3 linked regions of the Oryzias latipes genome follow. The protein of the gene in region 1 interacts with the protein of each later gene in a biochemical or structural test. Links are inferred from orthologs where the notes say so. Each region holds a gene or a part of one and is shown in the gene's direction. Other genes may lie near its edges.

The links.
Region 2: the proteins of ctnna1 (region 1) and junction plakoglobin form a complex in vitro, tested with the Homo sapiens proteins (2 studies listed by BioGRID). The link is inferred for Oryzias latipes from reciprocal best matches to the Homo sapiens genes CTNNA1 and JUP.
Region 3: the proteins of ctnna1 (region 1) and tjp2 form a complex in vitro, tested with the Homo sapiens proteins (2 studies listed by BioGRID and IntAct, with this or other methods). The link is inferred for Oryzias latipes from reciprocal best matches to the Homo sapiens genes CTNNA1 and TJP2.

The regions. Positions count from the first base shown.
Region 1 is NC_019868.2:19,914,131-19,919,624, forward strand, and holds part of ctnna1 (catenin alpha-1), read left to right. Parts: intron 1-2,875; coding exon 2,876-3,079; intron 3,080-5,494. UniProt on the Homo sapiens protein: Associates with the cytoplasmic domain of a variety of cadherins. The association of catenins to cadherins produces a complex which is linked to the actin filament network, and which seems to be of primary importance for cadherins cell-adhesion properties.
Region 2 is NC_019859.2:29,198,801-29,205,027, reverse strand, and holds the start of junction plakoglobin, read left to right. Parts: upstream 1-2,536; 5' UTR 2,537-2,636; intron 2,637-2,744; 5' UTR 2,745-2,849; intron 2,850-6,227. UniProt on the Homo sapiens protein: Common junctional plaque protein. The membrane-associated plaques are architectural elements in an important strategic position to influence the arrangement and function of both the cytoskeleton and the cells within the tissue.
Region 3 is NC_019870.2:25,440,583-25,446,677, forward strand, and holds the start of tjp2 (tight junction protein ZO-2), read left to right. Parts: upstream 1-2,404; 5' UTR 2,405-2,716; coding exon 2,717-2,823; intron 2,824-5,060; coding exon 5,061-5,190; intron 5,191-6,095. UniProt on the Homo sapiens protein: Plays a role in tight junctions and adherens junctions. Acts as a positive regulator of RANKL-induced osteoclast differentiation, potentially via mediating downstream transcriptional activity.

The DNA.
Region 1 (5,494 bases):
GTCACAAAGTTAGCTCTGTAGCAATCCACTATGCGCTTGAGTATCCGCTGACCCCTCTCCGGTGGTTTACGTGTTCTACCACTTCATGGCTAAGTTGCTGTTGTTCTCAAATTCTTCCATTTTGTTATGATGGAGTTGAATATTTAGGAGCCAGGAATTTTCATAACTGGATTTGTTACCCAGGTGGCATCCTATGACAGTTCCACGTTCCACACGAGCTCCTGAGAGTGGCCCATTCTATCATGAATGTTTGTGAAAACGGTATAAAGAGATTTATTTGATTCGTTAAATACTTCAAGCTGCCATGAGATTGTTCAAACACATTTAAGGTAACCATTTATTGCAAGTTTCGCCGTCTTTTGCGATATGCGGATTTCATAGCTTGATATTGCGATAACGACAAATTTGCGATTTATTGTGCAGGCCTAGTTCAGACCCTCTCCCAGTACTGTGAGGCTCGCCATCTGCTGCAAGAGCTGCGTCTGAATGACCGCTGCTTTCAGCGGTACTCTTGTCTCTCTGTGACCTGGTGTGATGACTTGTCATGCATTAGTCCGCGAAAGGAAAAATAAGAATAAAGCTAGACGACCTTTTATATTGTCTCAATGGAAAAACAACCCATTTTATGGAGTTCAGGAGGAGAGCGATCAGATTTTCTTCCTATTTGGTATTTGGTTTGAACTCTGACCTCTGATCATGTCATCATGCTGCGCCTTCGTTGCCAAAGTTCAGATATTTGAACTCTGGATGCACCATGCCACAACGACCGAGACGCGCTCCTGCCACACCACCGCACTGCGCCCGACCTTCAGAACACGTTGCAGGACCTTTCATCATGTCTGTCAAATTTTGATGCATGAATCACATTCAGTGTGAACGCAGCTTTAGAATTCTGTGCTTAATTTTCCACATTTGCTCTGGAAGCCTTCCTTAGAACTATCCTTAGCAGTCACTGTCACCAAGGAAAGTTTAATGATGATTCTTTTAAAGGAGAATGTCAATGTTTTACTATAAAATTAGGTTTTGTCAATATTCTTTCATGTTTCTCAGTTGACCTACCTTCACTTGGAAAAATGAAAATTACTCTTGAAAAGCTTGTTCCTTATAGTAAAATGATACTGGAATCTTTAAAGAAAATTCCTTGAAAGCTCCTCTGTTTAAACGTTGAGAACAGTGCAAGGCTGGTTTATCAATGCCATTTTATTGCACCATTTTTTTAAAATTAGCTTCATTAAGAAAAAAGTCTTTAAAAAAACAGATCTTAGCAAAGCATTTGAGTTCTGACCAGAAATCAGCTGCCAGGAACATCTTGAGTGTTTGTGAATGCATCATTGAGTACACGTTTTCACAGGTTTTTTTTGTTTCACTCTGTATTGTGCCATCAGCTTTGTTGGACCATGCTGGTCCTTTGTATTAAACTGATTAAATGTGCCAGGTCTGTCAGTGAGAGAGAGGTTTTTTGTGACTGTTTGGCCCTGTAAGTGAGCTGTAAGCATTAATGACCTAATTTCCTTTAATCCTCTTAAAATGCTTTTTTTTTTTTTAATCGTAAAAGCAAGTAATAAGGGAAAAATTCTAAAAATCTATGCATCACTAAATTTAGACAGTTGGATATTTTAATTTCATCCATGGTAAAAAAAAAAAAATATTTAAACATGTCTAGCTAAGCTAGACTTAAGATATTGCTGAAAAAAGAACAACCTCACCTTATCTACACACTGCATAGTGATTTTTACTGCACTGTTGCTGTAGTTATGTCACTTTAGTCTGCTCTGTAAAGGTTTCTTTGAATGCAAATCATACATTTTTGCTGTAATGCTTGTAGTTGTGTTTAAGAGCAGATTTTTCATTTCTTCAAATAGGTTTGGTGTATAAGAGCCCATAGGCAAAATTAGGAAATGAGTCAACAGTGGTGCTGTTTCTCTGGGCTTCCACCTCCATGTCTCTCTCAAATGCCTGTTGTCATGGGGATATGACACACAGAGGAGGCCAGACAAGACAGAATAGAGGGAGCTGGAGGTGGTTGTCTAAAGAAACCGCAAAATCTAACAATCCAACAGCTGTTTTCCATTATTTGTATCAACAAGGAGTTATTTGGTCATTCAACAAAATGTGTGCAACTGTAGGTGTTACAACCATTTGACTAACCATCTACCACCACACTTGGTGGCTAAAGCTGCTTGATTTAATCTCAATTGATGTGAGAATAGTTAAAGCAAACTACAGAATAAATAAACTTTTGAACCAGTGGCTATTTAGCAATTTTGAAACTCTTACGACCTGAAATATTAAATTGAAATATTTTTCATTATATTTTAACTGAAGCAAATAAAAGTACCATTTTCCTCCAAATTGGTTTTGGTTCATTTCTATAAATACTGCAATTCTATGTTTGTCCCAAGTATGTGAGGCAATGAATTGTTGATATAAATATATTGTTAGTATAAATATTTAAGTGTATTTCCAAAAAAAAAAAGACTGTCACTCTAGATATAAAGATCTTTTTAAATCTGTATAGATTTAGTGTGATTGAAGTTCTTTTTCTGATTGTTTTCCATATTTTAATTGTTTTTTTGTAATAGATCCTTAGTTGCTAAGACTTGCCTCCTAAATGTTTTCCATTCATTTAAATGGTAACCCTTAACGGTTTTTAAAAGATACATTACTGCTAAAGACAATGTTGTCTTTAGTTGTAATGTTACTTTGATTTCTGAATGTCACTTTGCTGCTGTAGTCAAAAGAATTTTCACTTTGTGGGATAACTAAAGTCTTATCTTAATATTAGTTCTGTGCTTTTTTTTTTCCTACCCTGGCAACAAGACACCCATTTTCTTTTTCTGTTTTTAAATCTCTTCTTCTTGTGTCTTCCTGACAGAAACAAATCATTGTTGACCCTCTGGCGTTCAGCGAGGAGCGCTTTCGTCCTTCTCTGGAGGAGCGCCTTGAAAGCATTATTAGTGGAGCTGCCCTCATGGCTGATTCCTCTTGCACACGTGATGACCGCAGGGAGCGCATTGTGGCGGAATGCAACTCTGTGCGTCAAGCACTACAGGACCTTCTGAGCGAGTACATGGGAAATGTAAGTGTCTTTAACTTTTTCCCCCATTTTTGATGTGCTGTTATGTCTTCTAAGTTTGGTTTGCTCTTTTTAATCACTAGTGACAAAAGGTGCGTTTAGATGCTGCATTTCTGACTTGATTGAGATCTATGGGTTCATAATTTGATTTATGGTTCAATACCATTTTATTAAATATTGATTAATTTCTCCTGTTTCAAAGTTCCAACCCCATTTTGCTTGGTTATGATTTTTCTCTTTCCTCAAAAAAGTACATAATTAAGGTTTAAACTGCACAAAAGTAAAACTTTTAAAGCTTGAAAATTTCTAAAAAATAAGAAATCTAATAAAAACATAAAGAAAACCTGATAAATATCACATAAATTCTTTAAATTAAAATTCATCCACTGTCATAAAATTGATATTGCATTTTTAGGCTAAGCATTGACTTAAGTATAGTTTCAGAGGTTTCACTTGTCAAAAAAAAAATGCACCCAAATCAAGTTTCAATAAAGGGGGCGGAAGAACTATTTTGGGGCTTCTGAACTATAGTTACTTATGTCTGAAAGTTTGGGCAGATTTAAACATCCTACACCTCAGAAACACTTTGTAAAGGTGTACCAAACGGCTCAGTTTTTTGGCGTGTGCACACACTAATTTGGATAGAGATAAATGTGTTTACAGGGCTTTTGGCTGTCCTTCGTTCAAATCTGCGACCGGTTGGTTACAAAGCCTGTGCAGTGGACCCCCCGACAATTGTCTGGGGGCCATTGCAGGACCTGTACATTTTGTCATATCTTCAGCAGTTTTTGAGTGGTTTTGTCTTGATTGTAACGGTACAGTTGTCGGAAGGCATCTGTTAAAAGCATTTAGTGAATAAAAATCGAGGCAAAGTTGGTCCTAAATACAGAAATCCTCTGGCCCTTTGCACATTTTTAGTCACGTCTTGGCCAGTGTGAACGTACTCAATCTAGAATGTAATCACCAAGCCATGCTAAATTGAGATTTAGAAATCACCCTCCACAGTAAGCCTGTAAACCTTGTTTGGTTGTATGTTAAAGTAATCCTCGTTATAAGTCTTTCATGCAGTACACTATTCTATTTAAATTTCACTGTAAGATGAAATACTATGGTTTTGTTTTAGCTTTATTCTGTGTTAATAAACTGTGTAGTCCACTAGGGATGTCAACGATTTCTGGGCATTTTAAATGGTTATGAAAACCATCAGCCACAGTCATCGCAAAGCACAACAGGAACTTTTGGAGGCGGTATAACCCTCCCTCAACCATAGAAGACGAACAAAAACTTGCATTTAGTGCTTCATTCACACCGTCCGCGTGTGGTGCGTTCAATAGCGCGGTCCACATGGTTTATGAACGCGTATCCAGATGGTGTGGGACATACCGGACTTCTGTGTATTTACTGTTTATTAGTGCTCAACTGCCGTCTACAATAGGAAGAGGGTTGATAAGCAAAGTCACAGTGGTGCAAATCTTGCTCCAGACCTTTTGTTTTCATAGCTCTTTCCCTATAAACCACAATTATTAATGTCTCCTTCGCCATCAAGTTTAAAAGTGTTGGGACTTCCATGTTATGAAGTGGACACCACCCACACGTCAAGATGCGTTCCGGACGCAGAAGCCCGGAATTCTGGTGTGCGTCACCGACTGTAGACTGGGAAGGAGCCAGTGCACACCAGAGATGGATGCAATACTTACACAGAGAGTCCTTGAAATTTTTCTAAAAGAAATGAGACCTCTGTCAATGGTTGAAGAAGGTGGATTTTAAGACATGATTGGGGTGCTGCATCCTGGCTACCACACAAGTTAAGTCACTTTTGCTAGATAATGGGGGAAAAATTATTGTGGAATATTTTAGTGTTCACTAATTGAAAAAGTAAAACCCATGTTCATGTATATTTTTTGCTCACTATTTCTATGGGAAGTTTAGACAATTATTTAGTGCAGGGATCAGGAACCATATAGCTTGGGAGCCAATTTTGGCTTTTTTGTGCTAGCACATAGCTTACCTGGGACATTACACTTTTTAAAAAATCTTTTAATACGGTCAAATTGAAATTCATAGAGTATATACAAGTAAAAAAAAATGTTTTAAATGCACCATATGCTGAGCTTTAGCAGTACTAACAAGGAGCAAGATGTTGTGATGCTTTGTGGATTTAGTAGCTTCGAAAGCTGTAGCTTTGAGTTGGCAGTAAAAGAGCTGGTGTCTCAACCCTGTACTTTTAAAAGCTACAAATATACATTGTGACAGCAGCGCTGCATATGTGGTTAATCATGCCTCTACAAAGATGTTTGCTATGAGGATATGTGCTGTCTTGTTTAGTAGACCCAGAGAAGACGGGCACAGGTGTGACTCATGCAGTTCAGAGAACGGCATCTTTCTGTGTGTATAAAAAACAAAATGCTGTATAGCCAC
Region 2 (6,227 bases), on another chromosome or scaffold:
TTCACACAGAGCCGTTTGCTTCTCAAATAGCAATCAGAAGCCATCTTCTTCATCAGAAATGTGAGGACGATGGGTATCTTTTTTTGTTTGTTTGTTTGTTTTCATCGTCAAATAAAAATAGGGACACGGCTCATGACAGTTCTGAATTATTAACTACATTCTCATTAAAACAGAGATTCTGTTCCGGTTCTCTCGTTTTCCTGCCTCTGTGATGACACAGGTGGCGGCTGCAGCTGGACCTCTGTCTATTGTTCCACAGCATCTCTGAGATGATGCCCAGCACTGTGCTGTCCTTTTGTCAGGGGTGCTTAATAATTTACCACCGTCTCCATCAATCCAGGGAGCCTGCCGTCTGCTCCGGGCCACTTCCTCTCCCTGGGAACGCTGCGGCCATTTCCTGTGGGGCAGCAGAGCCTGTCACCATGAAGCCCCATGTCATGTTTCTGAACTGAAAGGCAGACTGAGCTATGCAGGGAGAGTCACTGCCTGGTTATGAAACAGGTGAGTGGATGCACTCCCCTCCACTCACCTTTTCCTCCATATTTCACCCGATTCAGACAAGATGCAGCCACATCTTTCAGACAAGAAACAGACATTAGAAGCTCGACATTTCCTCACTGCACACACTTAAAAATGTCCCCCTCCCCTTTTAATTCTTGGCCAATTTTCCAAACAAAGAGGCTGCTGTGCTGAAACAATGGCAGCATTTATGTCCCTGCAACCCCGCTGTCCACTGCGCAGACATATCCAAGGAAGCAAAAGTCACAGCCGGACTGCTCTGGCAGAAGATCTGCCCCGTCAGACACTGCTGTTCAGCACCAGGAACCACCGTTCCACTCAGTGAACAGTCTAATGGACATCAAACCCCCCCCCCTAAGCAACACATGAAGACTCCAGAGTGTCAATTAAGCCCGGAGCTATTTTTAAGGAGCGCGCACATTCACTGTGACAAACATGATGGCCTACATAACCAGCAGTGACCCAGCATGCCTTGTGCCTCTCCGCCACTGTCTCTTTCATTTGCAGAGCCGCAGATGAGGACTGTCACAAAAGAGGGAGAGGATGCAGCCTGAGGCGGGGAGCGCAGCCCGACCTATCCGCCTCCATCACCAGCTCACGCCGTCATGCAGGCCGCTCTGCACGCCGGCATCCTCTGCAAGTCTATTAAAACAATTCCTGTCAATCTGAGGCGTTGTTCTCCTTCTGAGGTGGACGGGGGTCAGTGTTCATCACAGCCCTCATCTGCCCCCACCCAACATGAGATGACCTCAGAGCGTTCAACAGGAATTCATGATATCTGGGAGAAATAATTACTTTTACTGTTCTGTTTTTTTTACTTGTTTTTCAATGAGAAACTATTACTGATTGATCAAATAGCAAAAAGAAAAGCTCTGGCAGAACTGACAGCCTTTTGTCCAGACACAACGTGACCTAACACACAGGGAGCTGATCCCTCCTCATTTATGGCGGTGAAGGTTCTTATTCATGCAGGTGATGTTGAGTTGAGTCATGGCGTGTGGACTTAAAATCGTCTTTCTTAAAACATTACCAAGTGGCTTCATCAGTCCTCATTCTTATTAATACTTAGAATATACAGGAAAAAATATACAAGATTCAGAGGCATTATTTCCTAAAACTGCATTTCCTGTAGAGATGTCTGTGTGAGAGCTGAGATCCAGGCTTGAAAGATCTTTTGATGATCAAAGTGGGTTTCCATTTTTTATTTTTTCAAAATCCTTTTTCAAAAGTTTAATCTTTAAAAGTTTGCAGAAGTTCCTCACTTTAGAAAATGTAAGGAGTTTCTATCTCCTTAGAGTCTCCACGAGGAGAATTCTGAGCTGGAACAGCGGAAAAGTTTCCCGGAAACAGCCTGACTTATGGACACAGGGTAGAACAGACGGATGCTGGAAAATGTCAAGTTTCTGTGAAGAAAGAAGTCTGATCATGTCATTTAAAGATCTTTCATCTTTAAATAATGATGATGTGACAGGAGCTGCAGCTCATCCAGAGAGATTATATCTGGGTGGAGAATATAAACTGTTGTGGAAAACTCGGATGATTCAGAGATGTTTGGATTTTGAGGGTGACTCAAACAAAGCTGTGACACTGAATAGGAGGCATAGTCGTCCAGACACGCCTGCCCCTGCCGGTGAGGCTAGCTGACCCCCGTGACCTTTGCAGAGAAGGTCCTGTCACAGCTTCACCGCGTCATTAACCGTGCAGATCTGTGTATCTGCACAGGTAAATATCCTTCACTGTTCTCTTGGTTTATAAGTTCTCTCTCGTTTTCACATATCGTGAGAACACACAGTCATCCGTGTCTTTCTCCCTCCTTTCCACGTGATGATGAAATGTCCCCGTACCCCCCACCCCCGCGGCTGTGTCTCACCTGGTTTCGCTGTAATCAAGGTGTGGTCGAGCGTCACGCAGGTGCGCTGAGAACAAACGCTCGGCCTTGTTGTTACCCAGCAGAGCCCCTCCCCCACCAGCTGTCTGAAAGAGTGCTTTAACCGTGTTTGGCTGTGGTTTGGGGTTTCACCCCCGATGTGGGGCTCTTCGGAATAGAGGATCTTTGTGCAAGTTTCGGCGCTCTGCAGCGGGAGGGAGTGAATGTTTACGGGCAGCAGGTCCGGACGGTGAGGTCGGCTCGCGGCTGGGGAACCGGGCCGGGTGGGGCCGCGCTGGGAGGTGGGCGGGGCCTGCGCGGAGGTGACGCTCCTTTGACTCATTTGTTTCACCGTCAGCGACGGCAGCAACGGCTGGGAGAGGAGCGACGAAACCGAAGGACTCGCACCGCAGAAAACACACACAGCCGGAATTTTCTGGAGAGCCTTCCGCCTTTAGCTCAGGTAGGAGTCACGACGCGATACATTTTCCGCGCTAATAATGCGGCCTCTGCCGTTTGGATCATCGATGTTTTTCTCTCGTTTTGGTGACAGAAAAAAAATAAGTGTTTTCGAAATGGTCTATTTGTGGCTGCATAGTGGCTCGCTTGTGTGCTGTGACCGCCCGGCGCCTTTCATTCTGCCCTCATTTCCGCGTGCCTCAAAACTCTGCCCGCTTCTGCTCCGGAGTTCAGCGCGTGCTCGAACTACCACAGGTTGTCTCTGTCCGCGTGAACGCGCGTCCTGGCTTTTAGTTTTAACATGGCAACTTGGACCTGGTACCGAACGTTGACACGGGCCGGTTCTGTCGTAAGACCCTGTTTCCATGGCGCCGTGCGCGCGCGCGTGCGGCAGGTAAAAAGGAAAGTGGGTCTGTGTTTCCCTGCGGCGCGAATATCAAAGAGGCCTCAGAAAGAAAATTCCGTGGTGTCATTGAAGCCTCACCACTGACAGAATGCTTCGATCCTTGATATTAAAGTCAGTTTATGGACTCCAGAGCCTTTTCCCGGATCAACTTTGGTCTGGTTTAATCCGTACCAGGGTTAAGTCAGACCTCTGGTAGTTCACTTTCTTTGGCAGGTGTGATAGAGCTCCAGCATAGATTAAAAAAAACAAAAACAAAAGGTTCCTGTTTACATGACAGGGAAACCTGTTCAAAAAGGTTTCTGTGGTTGTTGAGGCCCCTCCCACTCACGCACACACTGGAAACCGCTCCTGGGGAGGGCGGGTGGGTTGGAGGAATTACAGTTGATTCCACAGCTGTGGTGACATGACTAATCCAACCCCCAAATTCTCTGATACTGGCCTACATTAGCAGAAGCAGGACCCAGGAGGCCCCTCGGTTTACAGGTTTGCTTGCTTCCGAGGGATTACAGACCCCAGCCTCATCTTTTCCTCCCTGGATTAAACTCCGGCCCTCATCTTTCTCCTGGTCCTCGAGGCGCCGCGGCTCCAGGAGGAACTCTCCGTTCTCTTTGTTTTCTCTGCGCTCGTCTTTGTTTTCCTTTTTTCTCATGTGAAGGGAATGCAGAGAGATAAGAGTTCCCATCAGCCTCTCTGGGATCTGCGCCTCGCTGAGGCTATGCGACAGCCTCCGATCCAGCAGACAAGATCCGATTTATTCCACTTGAAGTTTGTTTTCATCACATCAAAGCAGCAGGAAGTCGACGCTGTCATTTCTGTTTAGAATGCAAAGAGTCGGACTGATGTACTACAAGAGCAGCAAACAAATCCCACCGTCAGGTCGCATTCCTGCTGTCAGGGCCTTTATGCTAGGGAAGTACAGTTACCCCAAGGTTGATCAGTGACCCCCGAGACTAAGACGAGGTCAGATGACACCCTCTCTTTAGAAACCATGTCAGACCTGTTTGAGCCCCCCCACCCCATTCCTGTTGGGGAAGAATGTCCTTCATTACCACATGTTACCACTGCATTCAGAGTCTGAGTCAAAAGAGAAACTTTTCACACTTGGATGATCGGCCAGAGTTGCGATCTGAGGAGTGGGGTGGGGGGTGGGGGGTTGAAACAGAAAGCAAATAAGCAGGAGGTGTTTTTTTTTTAAAGATTTCGATCCGTCTCCGCTGCTGTTTAGAGGAGCGCTGCTGTGGATAACAACACATTCTCATGACCCGGTTCTGGTTCTGGCAGCATCTCTGGACCGGTTCCTACACAGCCTGCAGACAGCAGCTCAACCTTCCTGTGGGGTGTCAGCAGCACCCCCCCCCCCCCCCCCCCCGTGCCCTCTCCTTAAAAAATTAATCTTGTGTCACAGCGCACACTGATGCATAGCAGCTCGCCACCCCCACCCCCCACGCCGTTTTCAGCCTCTTACACCAACTTAGGCTCATCGGCGTGCCGTCCCATCTAGCCGCGCTTCGTCCTCTTTGGGGTTCAGAGATCCCAACATTTACCCAACGGGCTCCTCGGTCTTCTGGAGAGTCCAAAAAGGAGCTCGTCAGCGTGAAGGCGGGCATGACCTCGGCTAGAATCAGGGAGTCTGTGACTCCTCCCCCCTCCGGCTGTGTCATATTTATGCCGGCGTGTTTGGTGAACTTTGTGCAGTACTCCTGGCAAATGAGCGGTTATTGCTGCTTGGCTGCACCCCGCTCCACGCCTCCTCCTCCTCCTCCTCCTCTTTTATCAGTTGTGTGTAATGCGATCCCTGGCTGCTCCCGGGCGCCTCCTCTGAGACGGCTCACGTTTCCTTTAATTCACAGCGAGGGCCCAGAGGGGGATCTCCACTGCGCTGCAGTTTGCAGCCGCTGGCCTACTTCCACTCGTGAAAGTCACGGCTGTGACTCAGCTGACAGGACAGGAGCTTCCGGCCTTTCTGCTGCTCGCTTTATTCACTGGAGTCTGGACCGGATCCAGATCCAGGACCTGGACCCGTCGGGTCCAGACAGGTGCAGCGTTGCACAAAAGCACTCTGGTAACGCGCTCTCGTTAGCTGCCTCTCCTTGTAGTGACGTCACTTTGGTCATCTGGCATTTCTCAAGCGATTCCTGGTGGACCCGGGCCTCCCGTGGGTTGGTGCCGTGGTCCGCGGGCCGCTCTCAGCTGTTGGGTGATCGGCGGCGGTGAGCAGCACTTCCCGTCATCCGTTAGCATAAACTCATCAGCTGTGCATCACTTCACATCCTCCCTTATTGATTTATAGCAAACTGCAATCCAGTTGTCCCCCCCGCCAGCGCACAGCCAGACAAGCTTCAGTCGGGGGGGGCTCACAGAGAGTGTCTCCCCACCAGAGCGGTTGTGCTGGGAGGGGGGGGGCTGACCTAAATGTCAAACGATTCCTCATCCAGATGGTACAAGAAGCTTTACAGATGTGGACAAGCATAATCTGCTTTATTTGCTTGTCAGCCTCCATATGAGAGCAGCGAGGCTGCTGGGAGTCGGAGGAGCCCCCCCTGCATGTGAAGAGGTCTCCTCCAGGACGCACATGAGCATGTGCGACAGCGTCCTGGCTGACCTGGGGGGCTTCCTGCTGAGGGAGCTCTCGCTTTGGTGACGCTCGGCTGGTCGTGATGTTTGGATGTTTTCTAACGCCTCCACACCGTGCTGCTGCTGGCACTTAATTACTGGAGGAGATTATTCCCATTTTCCATGATGACCATGAACACATCATCTGAAATAGAGGTGTGATACTGTGTCCATAAAGAAGAAAACCGTTGGATTACTGGATTTGTGTGTTATTGTCCCATTATGGATCTGCAGACATTCACCATGGTGGTTTGGAGCCATGATAAATTGCCCCCCCCCCCCCCCCCCCCCCCCCCCCCCCCAGCCTGAAAACAGCTGAGATTTTGCTTAATACCCTCCAACAAGCGTGTTAAAGTCTAACAA
Region 3 (6,095 bases), on another chromosome or scaffold:
CAACAGCTGTGGAAAAACACCTAAGAGCAGTTTTGGTGAGCAGTATTACTGTCGGACAAGTGCTGTGGTGGAGCCGAAAATGACTAAAGGTTGGCGAAAAGCAGATGAAACTGCAACGCGAGTTGTGACTCATCAATGACTCCAAATCACATCTTTACAGTTTATTCAGCAGGGATTTCTTGGAAAAATGTCCAGTCATTAGTGGATCATTTGATATCAAGATAAAGAGCATTAAAATGACAATCCCAGGTTCTGAAGAGGTTCTGCATAAGAGGATCTGTGTGGAGCCGCTACAGCCCTCATTGAAACTAGGTTTCTTTGTTTGCTCATTTGTCCTGATTGGGTAACATCTTAGTGGACCTCCATTCTCTCTGTGTTTGTGGTGCTTTCAGTCTGCATGACGTCTTTGTGCTCTTAGTCAGTGCCTTTTAAAAATAGAGGCTTGTTATTTTTGCTCACCCCACCTCACCATGCTCCTGGCACTTTCCCTTCCTCCCAGGGGTCTTTGCTGCTCAGTGAAATCTGCTGCAGCCTTTCATGCCACAAGCATCATGAACCGTAATCCAGACATCCAAGCTGCCTGGATGCAAATCCTGTCCGGAGTTGTGCCGTCTGGCATTCATCCAGAGGGCACAAAGATGATCACTATTTGCTTGAAAGCTTTTAGGACATGGTGGCTTCTGGCATCAAGATGGACTTAATCTGGCCTGCCTTGGACACTGCACCCCTTCTCTTTTTTTCAGGGATGTGTGTGTGTGTGTGTGGGGGGGGGGGGGTATTTTGATATTTTATGAAATAGAGAGGACTTCTACAAAACGTTGTCAAATCTGCATCTGAAGACATCACGGTCAAAACATAAAGCTGCAGGCATGAAGCTTAAAAAATCGCTTAGAGGAGTAAGTCTGATTTGTGACGGTTTGTTAAAAGTGAGTGTAAACCAAAACTTAAGTTTCTGTGAAGATGCTTAGGTATTTTCTTCTTGACTGCATCTCTGCGCGTTCATTGTTGAAGCTCCACGCTGCACGACTGATGCAAAAGAATGACGAAAAACAAAAAATTCTGGGGGGAAAATTGTTTTAATTTGCTAATAAGCAAGTAACTATGAAGAAAGACCTTTCAGTTGGCTCATACTAAGCCTTGTGTACTGCAATAAAATAATAAATACTAAATTCTTCTCAAACGTAGCAGGGATTTTTTTAAACTTCCAACTAATGGTATGCAATAGGCATGCAACGATGCACTTTCCCCACAATTCAGATCTGCAGGTCCGCTTTAACGCAAAAATTGTGGCATATCCCTTTTCTACACAATGCGACTCGCCTGAATGAATTGCCCTAAATGTGGAAGGTAACGTACACACCGTGAATTTGACATGCGTTCTAAAAAATGCGTTCTAAAACATGCCAAACTTGGGTTGTTGAACATGCTGTAGCCCGTGGTATTCACACTGGACAAACAGGGAGGGGCTTCTTCTGCTTTTTCTTTATCTATTGTTTGCTAGCCTCCTTCAGATGGAAAGGGCTTAGTGTGAAATGCAGAAGCAATCAGAATCTCACGAATCTTGCTACAGGCTTTTTCTTACACAGCCCAAAAAGAGTTGTAAAAACCTGTGTAGCTACACATCAGTGTGGGAGCCCGAAACGTGCATTTACATCCGGTTATGTAGACTTTTTCATTGGAAGTTCCTGAACGTAGCTTGAAAGCAAATCAGGTTGCATTTCTGAGCGCTGTCCCAGACGGGACCAAAGTTGACATGTTGGGATAAAAGTGAAGCGTCAGAAGGGGGAAGTTGAACTCTCCCTGTTCCTCGTCGTGAATAGAAGAACTAACAGAGGATCTGCTTGGTTTGGATCCGACTATCCATTCATTGGTGCATTCAGGTCTCTGTGGTGAGATTCTGCTGCTGCATTTCAAACTTTCCAACAGTAAACTTCCTGTCTTTGTTTTTTTTCTGGATTACAAAAGTATAATTTATCCATAGAGGATTAATATTGTTTCATCCAATTCAACCCACAGCCGGATGTTTCCCATTCTTCCATGAATCATTCAGGAATTACATAAAGCTGAAATTTGATGTGGTTTTAAATCTTTTGACGGTCTTGGAGTATTTTGTGCAGTCGGGGTCCTTATCCGCCTTTCATGGTGGTCAGCTGTGGATGCTCGGGTGAAGTTAGACGGGTGGTGTAAGTGGCGGGAAGACTAAGCCTTGATGGAGGGGGGGATTAAAGGCGATGGGGGTGGGGAGCGTGCATGATCTGTCAGGGCTTAGTACCACAATTATCCCAGCAGCTGCAGCATCAGCGGTGGCAGAAACTGTGTTTTCATTAGTGTAATGCCCAGAGATGCTCCACAGTTATGTAAGCGTGACGTGCTGTCGTTCGTCCCCTCTCCACCAGCCCGCCTCCTGGTTACAACGTGGCTGTTTGTTTTCCTTTTATCCTTCATCACTCGGAAAGCCAAAAGGACATCTGTCGGAGTCGTGCTTAGGCGCAAGTCTGTAGTAGCCTAGCCGCGGGGACGGCTCCCATCTGCACACGGAGTGTGTGGCTGGTTGTCATGGAGAAGCAGATGCACCGAGGCGCGAGAGCGTCTCTGAAGTCCCGATGATTCAGATGGAGGCGAGCAGAGGTGCTTTGCTTCTGCGCTCTGTTAGCATCGATGGAGGGTCGGCAGCAGCCATGAACTCGCAGTGATGCTGTTGACGGAGAGGTAAAAGATGAAGTTCAAGAAGTTTATCACCATCATGCAAGCGGCCATGGGGATCGTACCCCTGAACAAACGCGAGCTCCTGCCACCCGGCAGGAAACTGTGGAGACCTTCAGGGTGAGTGTTTTTTTTTTGCGTTTCCAGACTTTGTGAAGGAAAGCGGGGGATGCTCACTTCTGCAGATGAAATCTAATGGCATTAAAACAGGATGGAAGCAATATTGCATTACATATATTGCACAGGGACGGAACTATAATTCTTTGTTAAACTTTGTTTTTTTTTTTTTTTATTTTATTTTATTTTGTATCATAAGAGAACATTTCTGTGCAAAGCAGCTCATGTTTCTCCAAACTGACCAAAGGATGTGTTTCAGTTAAAAAATGGAAATAAAGGATAATGGAGTGAAAAATTAATTTTGCTTTTCTGAAAATAGTAGGATCTCATGAACAGTTTTGTTATGGCTGTTTTGGTAGTTTCATTGATGGTTTCTGGGTTTTTACGGTTTCTCCAACTGTTATGTTATTAAAAAAACATCCAACATTAGTTTCATTTTATGCACACATCATGCTTAACCAGCTTTTTTCAAAGGGTGGGAGATGCTGCTATCACCTTCTTTCATCAAAGATGGTCTAGTTTCTTTTTGAATGACTCAGTGAAGTTGGAGGATGCGAGCAGCTCCTTTTATCTCTGTCACAAAGATGCTTCACGGATAGCTTTTCACTTCCATCAAAGAAAGAAAAAGAGTTTCTAGCTTTTAAAGAGAGGCTGCAAACGGGAAACGGCTTCTGCATTTGGGCTCATTGGAAAGATGTCTGGATAACACCGCCTCTTTCTCCTTTGAAAAAGGCAGTGGCATGCGAGCATCAGTTTAGGTTATGCTGTTTTTGGATTACTTTATGACCGCTTTAATCAGCTGACATGCTTTCCCAAAAACTCCCTTTTCAGTCTATGTCCATGTAAACTTCTGTCCAACCTCTTCAGATGTGGACCGATTAATCTTCATACTGTTTTTTTTTTTTTCTTTTCATTTGTTTATTTCAAAGATGAAAAAAATAGATACATTTAAACACTTGCTGATAACTTCAGTCAGTCACAAGAGTATCTACCGTATTTGAGAGAACGATAAACATGTTTGATGGAGATGGGCAGAAGCTGATTTGACCGTTGTGCCATCTCGTTGGGTCCAGATGACCCCACCCTTACACTGACCTGATACCTCTACAATGACAAAGGTGGATGAAGGTGGAGAGGATTTCATGTAATCCAAGAAAAAAGGTTAAGCACACTGTCTTGTGGGGTCATCTGGACCCCACAAGATGGCACAAGGGTTAAGCCTGATTCAACTATGACAACAAAAATACAAAACAACAAAAATCCTGACAATACATGGATGACATCAATATCATCAACATGTCACTTGAGTTCTAGCTAAAAACATTGCTTGAACTGAACTGCACAACTGGAGGGGAGGTCATTTAACGGGTTGGGAAGACTGAAATCATGGTGTGTTGTTGGGAAAAATTTCAGTGCACAGAAATATTCCTGCCGGGTAAACCTGTTACCCAGAGGTGTGTATGTCGCCATGGAAACTGCATCTTGATGGTTCCTAGTCTTCCTCTCTTTTTTTTGTTATTTTTATTTTTTTATACATGCTAGATAGAAAGCTTAAAGGTCTGGGTGCAAAGAAAGATCCAGGTTCTGCACCCTTTAGACCGGCACCGCACATTTCTGCTGCTTCCTGTTGACGTGAGGATGAAATATAAGCTGCGTCAGGCTGGCAGCGAAAATCTTTGCCATATGTTAATGATTAGGAACAGCGTGTTGCTCTTGAAGTGCGGGATTATAATCTGTGAGTTTGGTCCTTTTGCATGAATCCAGCAGATGTCTTAACCAGGCCAGATCAGAACAGGCAGTTCCTTTGCTTCTTCTCAGACCTTTCATCCTATAAAATGCGCACTTGCTTTCATCCAAGTTTTCCAAAATAATCTACTTCAAGATTCACTAACTGCTGTTTAATCTGTAGAAAGTGCTTAATCTCTCATCCAGCATTACTTGCAAACTGAAAGATTATTAGAAAACAGATGCAGACTTGAAGTGGAGGAATTGCACAATTCCAGCGAGCTTAAAGTCTAATTCATTTGGCTCTAAAAATAGCAGCTCTCCGTCTGCTAAAAGCCCACGCGCTTCAACTCCAACCGACTGAGAGCTGAGGAGGAGACACTCTGACAGGAAGCTCGCTGAAATGTTCCCTTTAAATATTTTACTAGTTAAAACTCAGAGCACACTGCAAACCTTTCTGTCTGTCTGTCTTTTGTTGGTAAACGTCTAAATGTCCCCGTGTTTCCTCTGCACAGGGACCAGGCTTGTTCTGACCCCACCAGCACCGATCTGCTCAAGTCCAGCCGCAGATTCTGCTGGTCCAGAGAAGCCCAGTACTTGTATCTGCGCCGCCTGTCTTCACGGAGCTTCTCTGCAATCACAATGGTAGGTCCCTCCGGTGTTGGATGTTGATGAGATCCCTTCGGAGGTGCAGAGTTCCTTCAATAAGTGTTACTATCCAAAAACGGTCTTTGAATGCTGACACCTTCTGAATCCTCATATGTAGTGAACTGATCTGTGGACTTCTCAAGACCCATCCTTTAAAGAGCGAAATTAATACATCACAAGCCCTCAAAGCCTCCATTTTCAATCCTGCCCTGTCCTTAAGCACTCCTTTAACAGACTTTCATTTAGGCATCTGATTGTTCCATCTACCAAGCGGTGCAGCTTCACCAAAGTCCTGTTTAAATAATCTGACAGATTTTTGTTTAACCGCTGTGTTCCACAGAAAATCGGTTTGAAGTCGGTATACACAAGCAAAATCCATACATACCTCGCATTTCTAAGACTCACTGTGGATTTAAGAAAATTAAAGAGTGTCTCCTGGGGCCTCATTTATAAAACTTTGTGTAGGATTTGCGTCAGAAATGGCGTACGGATGAAACATAGGACGTGCGTACGCACAGAAATATTCGGATTTATAAAACCGTGCGCACGCACATCCTACGCATCTTTCCCTTAATAAATCACAACCAATTCTAAATGCAGCGCAGCTTTTGCGGCTTCATGACACGCCCATAGTTGCCCATAAATAGTCTGTGAAACGCCCACAAATGAATATTCATTGATTGCGAAACCATGGCAAACACAGAGAGGAAATGAAAAAAACGTAACTTCACTCAATGTGAAGTAGAAGTTATCGTTGGCGAGGTGGAAAAGAGGAGAAAAATGTTGTTTGGAATGTACAGTGTGGGCATTACTAATGCCAAAAAGGCACGTGAGTGGCAAACGGTGGCAGACGCCGTAAATGCTGTAGCCTCACAACCTTGGAGCGTGGCCGAAATAAAAAA